2 linked regions of the Stegostoma tigrinum genome follow. The protein of the gene in region 1 purifies or fractionates together with the protein of each later gene. This does not show direct contact. Links are inferred from orthologs where the notes say so. Each region holds a gene or a part of one and is shown on either strand. Other genes may lie near its edges.

Region 1 (7,052 bases):
CCAGCATCTGCAGTTGCCATTATCTCTGATTCATTAATGTTCTTCAGGGAAGAAATTCTGCTATCCTCACCTGGTCTGGCAGATGTGTGACTCTCAGCTGCCCTCTGAAATGACTTAGTAAGCCAGCTGTATCAATCACTACAAAACTACTCATGGTCCATACTATAACATTTCATACCAAATGAAATGAAAAAAATTCAAAAATCACATTCACTCCTCATAAATCAGTGTATACAGTTACATAAAATAAAACAAAGAACTGCAGGTGCTGGAGGTATGAAAGTGCTGGGAATACTCAGCAGGACTGCCAGTCACTGGGCTCAAAATGTTAACTCTGTTTTCTTCCAGATGCTGCCAAACCCACTGAGTTCTGCCATCAATTTCTGATTCTCTTGTATAAAATTATGTTTTGACAAATTCTCATCCCTATAAAACAACTGACAAATGATGTATTTCATGCACACAATCAAGTAGGAACCCCCCAAAAGACAGACTTTGAAAAGGTCCATAAAGAGGCATGTAGTCAGATACGAGGCTTGTCCCAACATTGTTTTGTCAGTGAGTTATAAATGAAAGGGTAAGACCCTTTCTGCAGTCCCTGCAAGATTTTGTACAAGTACCTGTAAAAGGTATTCAGATAGGATTGGTGAGATCATTCTAGCTTTTTGTCTAAATTTGCTTTTTGACAAAAAAACTTATTCTATTAAGTAGTAATGTTTTATGCTCAAGCACATACAAATGTTCAATTTTAGTTGGTTCATACTCCTTTGATTTATTTTATAAAAAGGCATAAATACTCAAAAGTCTAGTTTTTAAAAAGGTGCAGCTTGGAGTCTGGTAGATTTTGTAGTTGTAAACAATATAAACAAATATTTTAAATAATTAAGACATGGTGAGAGGGGGCTATTTTGGCACAGTGATTGTGCCCCTACCCCAGGGAACAAAGGCCTGGGCTCCCACCTGCTCCAGAATATGTCATAACATGTCTAAATTGGTTGACTGAAAGAGGTGGCGAAGGTTCCTTACAAGCAAAACAATCTGCATGATTAATTAATAACATAGGAAAACAGATAAAGCACAAGGAAAAAAAAAGTCCAGAAATTAAGTATTATGTACCAAAACTGTTGTCACTGTCAAAATCTTGACTACCTTCAAGTTCAATAAAATCTCATACTGTAAATACATTGGAAAATTCGTGGACTTCTCAGAGATCACATCCCTATGACGACTAAAATACAAAGTTTCATTCACAATAAAAAATTAACTGATTCACACATGCACACACACACAGTGTATTTCGGATTATTGAAATTTAAAACTGTTCAGAAATTCTTCATTGAACATAGTCCAGTTACGTTAAAGCAGTGTGCACGAAATTAGCAGCATAGATTGCAATAAGACTCCAAACAATCATATATTGCTAGCACCACCCAATGATGTCAGATATCAAATACTATAGATACCTTCCTAGAAAAGGAACTGTGCAAGCTGCCAATCTGTTACCTTTTACCATGTGCCTCTTTTTAAGCTTTGTTAAAAGTGAACTTCAACAGATGCAATGGCTCACCATTCAGTTGTGAATTTTATTAATGACAAAGTAGACTGGGAATTGAGTCCTCTTAGCTTGTGAGCATAAGAGTGGTTATTTAATTATCAACTATTACCACTTCCCTGCAAACATATCATGCATGATCAAATATCTATAAGTTACATAATAAAATTTATTAGCTGTAGAGACGTGCGTCTTTTATTCCAATCACATGCTCACTTACTGACAGGATCGTGAAACCTGCATACAATGAAGTACTCGTAAATAAAAGGTCAAACAGACTGCAACAGCAGCAATGGACTAAACTGGTACTAACCCTTTTAGGTTATAAAAAAGCTATTCAGAAAGTGAAGCAGATGTGTGCCTGAACATGTGGAATCATTAAAACGTATTTTATTTGTCTCCTTTTTAAAAAGCTTTTTTTAAGACGTATTCAAAACATACAAACAAAACATTAAAATCGGAGTTATTCATTTAGAATTTTGATTAAACCCTACACATTCATTGTAACTGTTCATCTTTTGATTTTAAGGAGCAATATCAGCGAGATTTCGCTCAGCCAGTTCCACAGAAGTAAACAAACAGCTGTTTCTTGAATCTAGACTCAGCTCCAAGCACGATACCAATGCAAACAAGATCATTTAAGGATATGCTTACCCCATTCCAGGAATTCTGCAATGTATTTTTCCCGTCGTATAGGCGAGCTGCAACATTCGTTGTAAAGGCATATTAAAATATCCAACAAAGTCTCCACACTCATTGAACTTGCATTCATCTGAGGTCCGTTCAGGAGCAACTGCTCCAACTTCTTCAGGCGAACCTTCGCTGACATTTTATTCTCTCAAGTTTTGTTTTAACTCTCAAAATTATCGTCCTCAAACGGCGGCCGGTGAGCAGCGTCCAGTTACCCAAAAGAGATCAAAGCAGTGATTTATTTCACATTTAAAAAGGCAGGAACTGACATTTTCACGGTTTAAGTTAAAAGGGAAAAAAAACGAATACTGCGCTCAGGCCCAGCTGGTCATAATATTTTCTTCTTTATCGGCGACCACCTCCCTATAACAGAACAAGAAAGAGATCTCTCCTTCCCTCTGTAAAATCCAAGTAAAGCCTTTAGTTGAGCTGAAGCCCAGCCCCAGAAAGAGGGCTCGTCTCCTCAAGTGCGTTGTTCATCTCCCGTTTTTCCTGGCTCCGCCGAAGCTCCTGCGCGTCTTGTCGTCAGTGTGGAGCCGGCGGCGCTCATCCCGGGCTCCTACCCGGCTGTTGGCCCCGCTCTCCGGCTCGCCGCCGCTAGCCCGCTCGTATACCCGAGCTGGAGGAATATGGCCGAGAAACGGTTCGTCTCGTCTCTTACTCGGCCCGGTCACAGCTCAACCTTAAACGGCCCGGTCCGGCCCGACCACACTCACTGATCCCGACACCACAAAGCCGCCCACCGGAAACGCGGCGACGTCACCTGATTGACAGCCCCACCCCATAGCAACCGGGAGGAATCCGGAGCGCGAGTTTCAGGGCCGGGAATGGGGGAACGTATCCCTGGAGATCTGGAGATGGGAATGAGAATAAACTCCTGGATATCTGGGAATAGCAATGTATCCTCGGAGATCCAGAGCTGGGAATAAGAATAAACTGCTGTACATTTGGGAAAAACAATGTATCCTTGGAGATGCAGAGCTGAGAATGAGAATAAACTCCTGGATATCTGGGAATAGAAATGTATCCTTCGAGATCCGGAGCTGGGAATAAAAATAAACTCTAGGATACCTAGGAATAGGAATGTATCCTTGGAGATCCAGAGCTGGGAATGAGAATAACTTCTGGGGTCCTGGCAAAATGAATGTATCCTTGGAGATCCGCAGCTGGAAATGAGAATAACTCCTGGATATCTGGGAATAAAAATGTTTCCTTGGAGATCCAGATCTGGGAGTGAAAATAACTCTTGGATATCAGGGAATAGGAATGTATTTTTGGAGATCCGAAGCTGGGAAAGAAAATAAACTCCTGGAGATCCGGGAACAGGATTTTTTTTCTGGAGATTTAAAGCTAGGAATAAAAATGTCACCGAAGATTTGGAGATGTGTAACTGGGGAACTGGGAATGTGTGAGAGAGACCCGGAGCTGGAAATTGCTTCGGGAGATCTTGGACAAGGAAAGTGTCCCTGGAAACCTAAGAATGGAAAACACAAACAGAAGTTGCTGGAAAAGCTCAGCAAGTCGGGCAGCATACGTGGAAAGAAATTAGAGTTAATCTTTCGACACCACTGACCCTTCCTCGGAATGAGAATATATAGCCGGAGATCAGGGTATGTGTCCCGAGCTGGGCATGTGAATATGCCCCTGGAAATCCGGGAATGTGAATGTCTCCCTGGAGATCCGAGAATAGGATTGTGTTCTGGCGATCCAGAGCAGGGAATTCTCTAGGAAGATCTAGGACCGGGAATGTGTCTCTGGAGATTTACGAATGAAAATGGAAATATGTCCCTGGAATCTGAGAATGGGAATGTGTCCGGGATATCGGAAAATGGGAAGGTGTCTTGGAACCGGGAATAACAATGTCTCCCTGAAGATCCGGAGCCGGGGATGAGAATGTGCCCCGGGATATGTGGGAATAGGATCAGGAATATGTCCCGGGAGATCCGGAGCCAGGAATGGGACGGGTTCACGGGCGATCTGGGGACGCAAATAGGAATGTGACCCTGGAGATCCAGGAATGGGAGTGTCCCGTGAGATCCGGGAATGGAAATATGCGCCGAGAGATCCGGGAATAGGGCTGGGAATGTGTCCGGGAGATCCAGAGCCGAGAATGGGAATGCTTCACGGGGTTTTGGGGCCGCGAGTGGGAATATGTCCAGAAATGGGAGTGTCCCGGGACATCCGGGCTGAGAATGAGATTGTGCCATGGGAGGCCTGGGAATAGGATGTGTCCCGGAAGATCCGGGGCCGGGAATATTTTCTGAGAGATGGAGCGCTTCAGTCTCTGGAGTGATTACTGCACGTTGAGGACAAGGAAACAACGCTCGACAAATACGAACTTGCCTGTTCCGAAATGAGTGTACTTTGCTTTTCTGCCCCGCCCTCAGTATCTGCGCGGAATTATCCAAATACCTGTAATTTAGGAAAATCGCTTCCTTCTTTAAATGTTTACGCCTATATAAAGTCATCAACTTCAAATGTTAACTGTTGCTCTCTCTATCGATACTCTCTAATGTGTAGAGTATTCCCAGCATTATGACTGTAAATTATAAACACGATACATCCTAATAAATGTATGTGATCTAGAGCCATTACTCAGTTCTTACAGTAATTACAACATTGTTCATCGAAACACATTTTCTTGGAAACATGCACCTGAGGCTCTGTGCTAAACCTCCTTGTCTGAAAGGATAAACAGTTTGCTACAAATCTATTCCTTCATTAATCTCTAGAAAGGGAATAGTGGCAAATTGGATCCAAGGTTAGAACAGTGGTTTGAAGTGAATGGTCAGAGCATGTGTTTTGACTAGAATGCTGATTTCAGTGGAGCTCCACTAGTACTTGGTCTTTGGCTTTTCAGGTGACAGTGAGTAAGAGAGCTGTGACATGGAAGCTATCAACGGACTGGTCAAGTGAATAGAAACATGGCAAATTAAACAAATCCAAAGTGTGAGCTCTTGCATTAATAAAAGGGAAGCGTAGATGATTACCTTCCAATCACAGTCTCCTCTCAAAATTTCTAATATTAGAACACCTCCTCCCAACTACTGTCCTTGTTCCCAAGGATTCCAAGATATTTTCTCCTGCCACTTGTAGCTCCTGTTGCTTATTGGTCCAAACATCCACTTAGCCACTAAATTTAAAACAATGAAAGAGCTGCGGATGCTGTAAATCAGAAACAGAAACAGAAATTGCTGGAAAACTTTAACAGAAATCTGAGGAAGGATCACTCAACCCGAAACGTGAGCTCTGATTTCTCTCCACAGATGCTGCCAGAGCAGCTGAGCTTTTCCAGCAATTTCTGTTTTTGTAATCATTTAGCAAGCTGCTGGGCAGGGAACAACAGAAAAATGTCAACAAGATAATTGCTTAGCAGGTCTGGTAGGATCTGTGAAGTGAAATCAGAGGTAATGTTTTGGGTTGAGTGACCCTTCAGAAATCTGAGGAAGGGTCACTTGACCTGAAACATGAACACTGATTTCTCTCCACAGTTGCTGCCAGAGCTGCTGAGCTTTTCCTGCAGTTTTTGTAACCATTTAGCCAACTGCCAGGTAGGGAACAACAGAAAAATGTTAACAAGATAATTGGCATGCTTGCCTTCATTACTCAGTCCTTTGAGTATAAGAGTTGGGAAGTCATGTGGTATTTGCGTAGGACATTGGTGAGGCATCTTCTGGAGTCTTGTGCCCAGTTCAGGTCACCCAGTTATATGAAGGATAATATTAGGCCGAGAGGATTCAGAAGAGATATACCAGGATATTGCTGGGTTTGGATGGTTTGAGTTATGAAGAAAGGCTGGATAGGCTGGGCCTTTATTAGTTGAAGTGCAGAAGGAGGTTGAGAGGTGACCTTACAGAAGTCAATAAAATAATGAGGGGTATAAATAGAGTCAGTTTCAAGACTAGCGGGCACACTTTTAAAGGTGAGAGGAGAGACATTTAAAAAATACTTAAGGGGCAATTTTTTTACATAGAGGATAGTTCGCTTGTGGAATGAACCTCTTGAAGAAGTAGTGAATGTGGGTACGATTGCAACATTTAAAAGACATTTGAATAAGTACGTGAGTAAGAAAGGTTTGGAGAGATGTGAGCCAGGAACAGGCAGGTGGAACTAGTTTAGCTTGGGATTATGTTCAGCATGAACTGGTTGGACAAAATTGTCTGTTTCCATGCTGAATGACTCTGTGACTCTTGAAGTTCAACCAGATATGGGGTCTTCAGCTTTACCTGTCAATCAGTACATATTTCCAGCTAAATTGTCCCAGTTCATGACTTTGCTTATACTATCAAGCCATACTAATATTTAAACCAATACTTACAAATCATGTGCACTAATACATTGTGTCATGGGAAGATGGTGAAATTATTTACTAATTATTTACTAAACAAAATCAACCACAGAAATTCATTTCACTCATCCCTTGCACCCTACTAATGTCAACCACAAAACATACATACATCATGCCATTTTATAATTCCATGAGGTTTGGTCCAGAAGGAATTTGAGGAAGTGGTATGAGATGTATGTGTTAAAATTTCTGACTATACAAAAGATATGCAGGAAAGTAAACTGTGTATAGGACACAGGAAGGTTACAGAAAGCTACTGATAGGTTAAGTGAGTGGACAAAGATATGGTAAATGGAGTATAATGTGGGAGATTGTGATAATGTCCATTTTGATAGGAGGAAAAAAAAACATTTGATTTAAATGATGAGAGATTTCAAAGCTCCGAGCTACGGAGCAATCTGAGTGTCTTCATGATGAAATTGCAAAATGTTAGCATGCAAGTACAGCAAGTAATTACGAAAA
Region 2 (8,059 bases), on another chromosome or scaffold:
TGGGTTGTGGATGAGGTTGCAGACATGCTCGCTGAGCCGGTGGGTTTGGTTCCAAACATTTCGTCACTCTGCAAGGTAACATCATCAGTGTGCCTCTGATAAAGTGTCAGTGTTTCGTCCTGCTTATTACGTGCCTCAGTTTGTTTGGGTGTTTAGTACCACTTCCAGTTCTGTTTCTCAGTGGTTTGTATACAGGGTCTAATTCAGTGCATTTGTTGATGGAGTTCCAGTTTGAATACCAGGCCTCTAGGAATTCCCTGGCATGTCTCAGTTTGTCTTGTACAATTATGGAAGTTTGTCCCAGTCAAATTTGTGTTCCTTGCTGTCCATGTGTCGTGAGACAAGTGAGAATTGGCTGTGCTTCTTGGTGGCTTGTTGGTGTAACTTTCTTCTGGTTTGACCTACGTAGTGTTTCCTCACAGTCCTTCCATGGCATTTTGTATATTACACCGCTTTTGCCAGTTTTGGTAATGGGATAATTTATGTTTGTCAGCAGCTGTTGTAGGGTAGTTGTAGGTTTGTGGGCTACTCTGATACCTAGGGTTCTGAGTAGTCTTGTGGCCATCTCTGAAACGTCCTTGATGTACAGGAGGGTGATTAGTCAGTCTGATCATGTTGTGTCGTCCTGCTGTCATCTGTCGTCGGCAGTTAAGAGTCAACCACGTTGCTGTGGGTCTGAAATCACATGTAGACCAGACCAGGTGAGGATGGCAGTTCCTTCCTTAAAGGACATTAGCGAACCAGATGGGTTTTTCTGACAATCAGCGACAGAGTCACGGTCATCATTAGATTCTTAATTCCAAATATTTTATTGTATTCAAATTCCACCATCTGCAGTGGCAGGATTTTACTCTGGGATCCCCAGAATGTTATCTGGGTCTCTGGATTAACAGTCCAGAGATAATTGCACTAGTCAAACAGGGACATGCCAGGGAATTCCTGCAGGCCTGGTATTCCAACGAGAACACCATCAACAAACACCTTGAATTAGACCCTGTGTACGAACCACTGAGAAACTGACCTGTAAGTGGTACCAAACACCCAAAAAAACTGAGGCTATAAATAACAAGTGGGACATAACACTGATGGTTCACCAGAGGCACACTAACTATGAGGGGGTGATGAAACATTTGCAACCAAACCCACTGGCTTGGCGAGCATGTCTTAACAAAGTGAAATTTGAAATGACACATTTTAATAGAAAAAAATTAGAAAAAGCAATACAAAATAAGCAACAGAATTCAGTGGATACTGAAACAGCAACAGCTTTTGCTACGATGTTTTTAAGATAGCAGGATAGATTGAAAAGTGGCTAAAAGGCACACAGGATCCTGGGCTTTATAAATTGGCAGATAGAGTATAAAAGCAAACAAATTATTATGAATCCTGATGAAATGCTGGTTTGGCTTCAACTGTGATCAATTCTAGTACAGAACTTTAGCAAGTGTTTGAAGGCTTTAAGGTACAAGTATTATTCCAGAGATAAGGAACTTCAGTTGCAATTACCTGAATGGATTGGGGAAGCTGGTGTTCTCCTGAGTGGAGAAGGTGAGGGATTTGCTAAAGGCATTTAAGATCATGACGGATCAGGCCAGATTAGGCAGAGCACATGTATTTCCACTCGCAGAAAATCAAGAACCTTAGGACACTATTTTAAGACGAATAGCAAATCAAGGGTGGTGCGAGAAATACTACCTGGTGAGTGGTTAATGCATTTTCTTAGTGTGGTGGAGACAGATTCAATTGTGACTTTCAAACGGGAGTTTAATAAGTGCCTGAAGTGAACATCCTTGCAGGGCTACAGGGTATAACAATGGAGAGATGGGTCTGGCTTAGTTATTCTTGCAGAAAGCTGGAACGGACTCTGCGGGATGAATGGCTTCCTTCCGTAGTGTAACCATTTTGTAGGGTCATAACGTCCCAATCCTAAGGTACAGAATATTCTGGTCTAAACTTATAAGAGGTCTGCCTGACTAGTTTACTCCTCAAATATTTCATCAAAATGACTAGTTTCCCATTCTGAATCTGAAGATTTTTTCCCCAGAGTCTGCTTCTCTGCAGACGATCTATATTTTATACTTTAAATATAAAGAATATTTTGAACATTTGACAATTCGAAGTTATTAGACTCTGTTGAATCTATAATTGAGTCAATGACGGGGTTCATTTCCTTATCGTTGCAATAAATACTCTACAGAGGGGAATCCTTTGTGGTTGGCCCCAGATGGCGCACATAAAAAAAACAGATTCCGGGAAGGGGGCTTAATGGGTTAAGTGCTACCCCGCCAATCCACTTCGTTTCACCTTCTCTAACGTTCGGCACCATTTCTTCAGGTAGATACAAAAGCAATCAAAAAACAAACCCGCTTTCCCCTTACAACGGGGCGTCTGTTTTGATGAACCAGTAAATATAATCGAATGTAAACCTCTGTTCACGTAGCAAGGTAGAATGTTTGCTCACCTATATTTACCGAAACACGGACCGATGAATTACCACACGCTGCCGATCAGTCCTGTTCATGTTGTCCGTGCTGCAGGTTTCTACACTGAGCTCTGTCTATCATCTACCTGCAGTCAGCACCGTGGTTTCATCAGAATGCAAGCCGCACGTCCCGCGGGCTTGGGTGAGGGCGTGGTGGTTTGTTGGAGAAGCTGGGATATCTGCGTCAGGAATGTTGCCAGGAGAACGCAAAAGGTATTTTGCAGCCAGTTGTTCCTCCCCGTTCCTTGTCTGTGATGCAGACTTGTTTCTGTGCCTCCCCTACTCTTTGCTACCGACAGGGAATGGAACACCGGTTCTTTGGCTGGGTCCTAATGCCGTCGAATATTTACACTTCAAACTATTCACTGAAATTGCCGACACAAAGAGGGATTCGTACAAAACGCCAAGTATTTGTAAAGTATTGTTCCACTGCTTAATTGTAAAACAAGCTCATAAATTGTCAGATAATAAAATGTGAGGCTGGACGAACACAGCAGGCCAAGCAGCATCTCAGGAGCACAAAAGCTGACGTTTCGGGCCTAGACCCTTCATCAGAGAGGGGGATGGGGGGAGGGAACTGGAATAAATAGGGAGAGAGGGGGAGGCGGACCGAAGATGGAGAGTAAAGAAGATAGGTGGAGAGGGTGTAGGTGGGGAGGTAGGGAGGGGATAGGTCAGTCCAGGGAAGACGGACAGGTCAAGGAGGTGGGATGAGGTTAGTAGGTAGCTGGGGGTGCGGCGTGGGGTGGGAGGAAGGGATGGGTGAGAGGAAGAACCGGTTAGGGAGGCAGAGACAGGTTGGACTGGTTTTGGGATGCAGTGGGTGGGGGGGAAGAGCTGGGCTGGTTGTGTGGTGCAGTGGGGGGAGGGGATGAACTGGGCTGGTTGAGGGATGCAGTGGGGGAAGGGGAGATTTTGAAACTGGTGAAGTCCACATTGATACCATATGGCTGCAGGGTTCCCAGGCGGAATATGAGTTGCTGTTCCTGCAACCTTCGGGTGGCATCATGGTGGCAGTGCAGGAGGCCCATGATGGACATGTCATCAAGAGAATGGGAGGGGGAGTGGAAATGGTTTGCGACTGGGAGGTGCAGTTGTTTGTTGCGAACTGAGCGGAGGTGTTCTGCAAAGCGGTCCCCAAGCCTCCGCTTGGTTTCCCCAATGTAGAGAAAGCCGCACCGGGTACAGTGGATGCAGTATACCACATTGGCAGATGTGCAGGTGAACCTCTGCTTAATGTGGAATGTCATCTTGGGGCCTGGGATGGGGGTGAGGGAGGAGGTGTGGGGACAAGTGTAGCATTTCCTGCGGTTGCAGGGGAAGGTGCCGGGTGTGGTGGGGTTGGAGGGCAGTGTGGAGCGAACAAGGGAGTCACGGAGAGAGTGGTCTCTCCGGAAAGCAGACAGGGGTGGGGATGGAAAAATGTCTTGGGTGGTGGGGTCGGATTGTAAATGGCGGAAGTGTCGGAGGATAATGCGTTGTATCCGGAGGTTGGTAGGGTGGTGTGTGAGAACGAGGGGGATCCTCTTGGGGCGGTTGTGGCGGGGGCGGGGTGTGAGGGATGTGTCGCGGGAAATGCGGGAGACGCGGTCAAGGGCGTTCTCAATCACCGTGGGGGGGAAGTTGCGGTCCTTAAAGAACTTGGACATCTGGGATGTGCGGGAGTGGAATGTCTTATCGTGGGAGCAGATGCGGCGGAGGCGGAGGAATTGGGAATAGGGGATGGAATTTTTGCAGGAGGGTGGGTGGGAGGAGGTGTATTCTAGGTAGCTGTGGGAGTCGGTGGGCTTGTAATGGACATCAGTTACAAGCTGGTTGCCTGAGATGGAGACTGAGAGGTCCAGGAAGGTGAGGGATGTGCTGGAGATGGCCCAGGTGAACTGAAGGTTGGGGTGGAAGGTGTTGGTGAAGTGGATGAACTGTTCGAGCTCCTCTGGGGAGCAAGAGGCGGCGCCGATACAGTCATCAATGTACCGGAGGAAGAGGTGGGGTTTGGGGCCTGTGTAGGTGCGGAAGATGGACTGTTCCACGTAACCTACAAAGAGGCAGGCATAGCTGGGGCCCATGCGGGTGCCCATGGCCACCCCCTTAGTCTGTAGGAAGTGGGAGGAGTCAAAAGAGAAGTTGTTGAGTGTGAGGACGAGTTCCGCTAGGCGGATGAGAGTGTCGGTGGAGGGGGCCTGGTCGGGCCTGCGGGACAGGAAGAAGCGGAGGGCCTTGAGGCCATCTCCATGCGGAATGCAGGTGTACAGGGACTGGACGTCCATGGTGAATATGAGGTGTTGGGGGCCAGGGAATTGGAAGTCCTGGAGGAGGTGGAGGGCGTGGGTGGTGTCACGGACATAGGTGGGGAGTTCCTGGACCAAAGGGGAGAAAATGGAGTCCAGATAGGTGGAGATGAGTTCGGTGGGGCAGGAGCAGGCTGAGACGATGGGTCGACCAGGGCAGGCAGGTTTGTGGATTTTGGGAAGGAGATAGAAACGGGCCGTGCGGGGTTGGGGAACAATGAGGTTGGAGGCTGTGGGTGGGAGGTCCCCTGAGGTGATGAGGTCATGAATGGTGTTGGAGATGATGGTTTGGTGCTCGGGTGTGGGGTCATGATCGAGGAGGCGGTAGGAGGTGGTGTCGGAGAGTTGGCGTCTGGCCTCGGCGATGTAGAGGTCAGTACGCCATACTACCACTGCGCCACCCTTGTCTGCGGGTTTGATGGTGAGGTTGGGGTTGGAGCGGAGGGAGCGGAGGGCTGCCCGTTCTGCGGGGGAGAGGTTGGAGTGGGAGAGAGGGGTGGAGAGGTTGAGGCGGTTGATGTCTCGACGGCAGTTGGAGATGAAGAGGTCGAGGGAGGGTAGGAGGCCTGGGGGTGGTGTCCAGGAGGAGGACTTGTGTTGGAAGCGGGTGAAGGGGTCAGTGGAAGGAGGGTTGGGTTCCCGGTTGAAGAAGTAGGCATGCAGGCGAAGACGCAGAACGGGCAGCCCTCCGCTCCCTCCGCTCCAACCCCAACCTCACCATCAAACCCGCAGACAAGGGTGGCGCAGTGGTAGTATGGCGTACTGACCTCTACATCGCCGAGGCCAGACGCCAACTCTCCGACACCACCTCCTACCGCCTCCTCGATCATGACCCCACACCCGAGCACCAAACCATCATCTCCAACACCATTCATGACCTCATCACCTCAGGGGACCTCCCACCCACAGCCTCCAACCTCATTGTTCCCCAACCCCGCACGGCCCGTTTCTATCTCCTTCCCAAAATCCACAAACCTGCCTGCCCTGGTCGACCCATCGTCTCAGCCTGCTCCTGCCCCACCGAACTCATCTCCACCTATCTGGACTCCATTTTCTCCCCTTTGGTCCAGGAACTCCCCACCTATGTCCGTGACACCACCCACGCCCTCCACCTCCTCCAGGACTTCCAATTCCCTGGCCCCCAACACCTCATATTCACCATGGACGTCCAGTCCCTGTACACCTGCATTCCGCATGGAGATGGCCTCAAGGCCCTCCGCTTCTTCCTGTCCCGCAGGCCCGACCAGGCCCCCTCCACCGACACTCTCATCCGCCTAGCGGAACTCGTCCTCACACTCAACAACTTCTCTTTTGACTCCTCCCACTTCCTACAGACTAAGGGGGTGGCCATGGGCACCCGCATGGGCCCCAGCTATGCCTGCCTCTTTGTAGGTTACGTGGAACAGTCCATCTTCCGCACCTACACAGGCCCCAAACCCCACCTCTTCCTCCGGTACATTGATGACTGTATCGGCGCCGCCTCTTGCTCCCCAGAGGAGCTCGAACAGTTCATCCACTTCACCAACACCTTCCACCCCAACCTTCAGTTCACCTGGGCCATCTCCAGCACATCCCTCACCTTCCTGGACCTCTCAGTCTCCATCTCAGGCAACCAGCTTGTAACTGATGTCCATTACAAGCCCACCGACTCCCACAGCTACCTAGAATACACCTCCTCCCACCCACCCTCCTGCAAAAATTCCATCCCCTATTCCCAATTCCTCCGCCTCCGCCGCATCTGCTCCCACGATAAGACATTCCACTCCCGCACATCCCAGATGTCCAAGTTCTTTAAGGACCGCAACTTCCCCCCCACGGTGATTGAGAACGCCCTTGACCGCGTCTCCCGCATTTCCCGCGACACATCCCTCACACCCCGCCCCCGCCACAACCGCCCCAAGAGGATCCCCCTCGTTCTCACACACCACCCTACCAACCTCCGGATACAACGCATTATCCTCCGACACTTCCGCCATTTACAATCCGACCCCACCACCCAAGACATTTTTCCATCCCCACCCCTGTCTGCTTTCCGGAGAGACCACTCTCTCCGTGACTCCCTTGTTCGCTCCACACTGCCCTCCAACCCCACCACACCCGGCACCTTCCCCTGCAACCGCAGGAAATGCTACACTTGTCCCCACACCTCCTCCCTCACCCCCATCCCAGGCCCCAAGATGACATTCCACATTAAGCAGAGGTTCACCTGCACATCTGCCAATGTGGTATACTGCATCCACTGTACCCGGTGCGGCTTTCTCTACATTGGGGAAACCAAGCGGAGTCTTGGGGACCGCTTTGCAGAACACCTCCGCTCAGTTCGCAACAAACAACTGCACCTCCCAGTCGCAAACCATTTCCACTCCCCCTCCCATTCTCTTGATGACATGTCCATCATGGGCCTCCTGCACTGCCACCATGATGCCACCCGAAGGTTGCAGGAACAGCAACTCATATTCCGCCTGGGAACCCTGCAGCCATATGGTATCAATGTGGACTTCACCAGTTTCAAAATCTCCCCTTCCCCCACTGCATCCCTCAACCAGCCCAGTTCATCCCCTCCCCCCACTGCACCACACAACCAGCCCAGCTCTTCCCCCCCACCCACTGCATCCCAAAACCAGTCCAACCTGTCTCTGCCTCCCTAACCGGTTCTTCCTCTCACCCATCCCTTCCTCCCACCCCAAGCCGCACCCCCAGCTACCTACTAACCTCATCCCACCTCCTTGACCTGTCCGTCTTCCCTGGACTGACCTATCCCCTCCCTACCTCCCCACCTACACCCTCTCCACCTATCTTCTTTACTCTCCATCTTCGGTCCGCCTCCCCCTCTCTCCCTATTTATTCCAGTTCCCTCCCCCCATCCCCCTCTCTGATGAAGGGTCTAGGCCCGAAACGTCAGCTTTTGTGCTCCTGAGATGCTGCTTGGCCTGCTGTGTTCGTCCACCCTCACATTTTATTATCTTGGAATCTCCAGCATCTGCAGTTCCCATTATCTCTCATAAATTGTCAGTTTTTTGAAGTGTTCTTAATCGAAATTTACTAATTTAGCTCCTAAAATTTCCTATGGCCTCGTATTTTTACGTTTCAGAACGGCACCACTCCGCTATTAAACCGTACAAATTTTGTGTTCGATTCCACACAGACTCCTGTTCACTTACTAACCTCTTCGCTCCTTCTCCAGCTCTATACAATCCTTGGACTCCTTTTCTAAACAATCCACAACCCCATTGCTCCTCCGCACTTCCGCCATCTACAATCCGACCCCACCACCCAAGACGTTTTTCCA

Evidence for each region. The genes of interacting proteins can lie anywhere in the genome.
Region 2: the proteins of cdc42bpb (region 1) and fam167aa purify together in Homo sapiens (co-immunoprecipitation; 3 studies listed by BioGRID and IntAct, counting the BioPlex papers as one, with this or other methods). This does not show direct contact. The link is inferred for Stegostoma tigrinum from reciprocal best matches to the Homo sapiens genes CDC42BPB and FAM167A.

What each region holds. Positions count from the first base shown.
Region 1 is NC_081363.1:39,356,367-39,363,418, forward strand, and holds the start of cdc42bpb (serine/threonine-protein kinase MRCK beta), read right to left. Parts: upstream 3,007-7,052; 5' UTR 2,382-3,006; coding exon 2,207-2,381; intron 1-2,206. UniProt on the Homo sapiens protein: Serine/threonine-protein kinase which is an important downstream effector of CDC42 and plays a role in the regulation of cytoskeleton reorganization and cell migration. Regulates actin cytoskeletal reorganization via phosphorylation of PPP1R12C and MYL9/MLC2.
Region 2 is NC_081357.1:77,765,769-77,773,827, reverse strand, and holds the start of fam167aa (protein FAM167A), read right to left. Parts: upstream 3,027-8,059; 5' UTR 2,462-3,026; intron 1-2,461.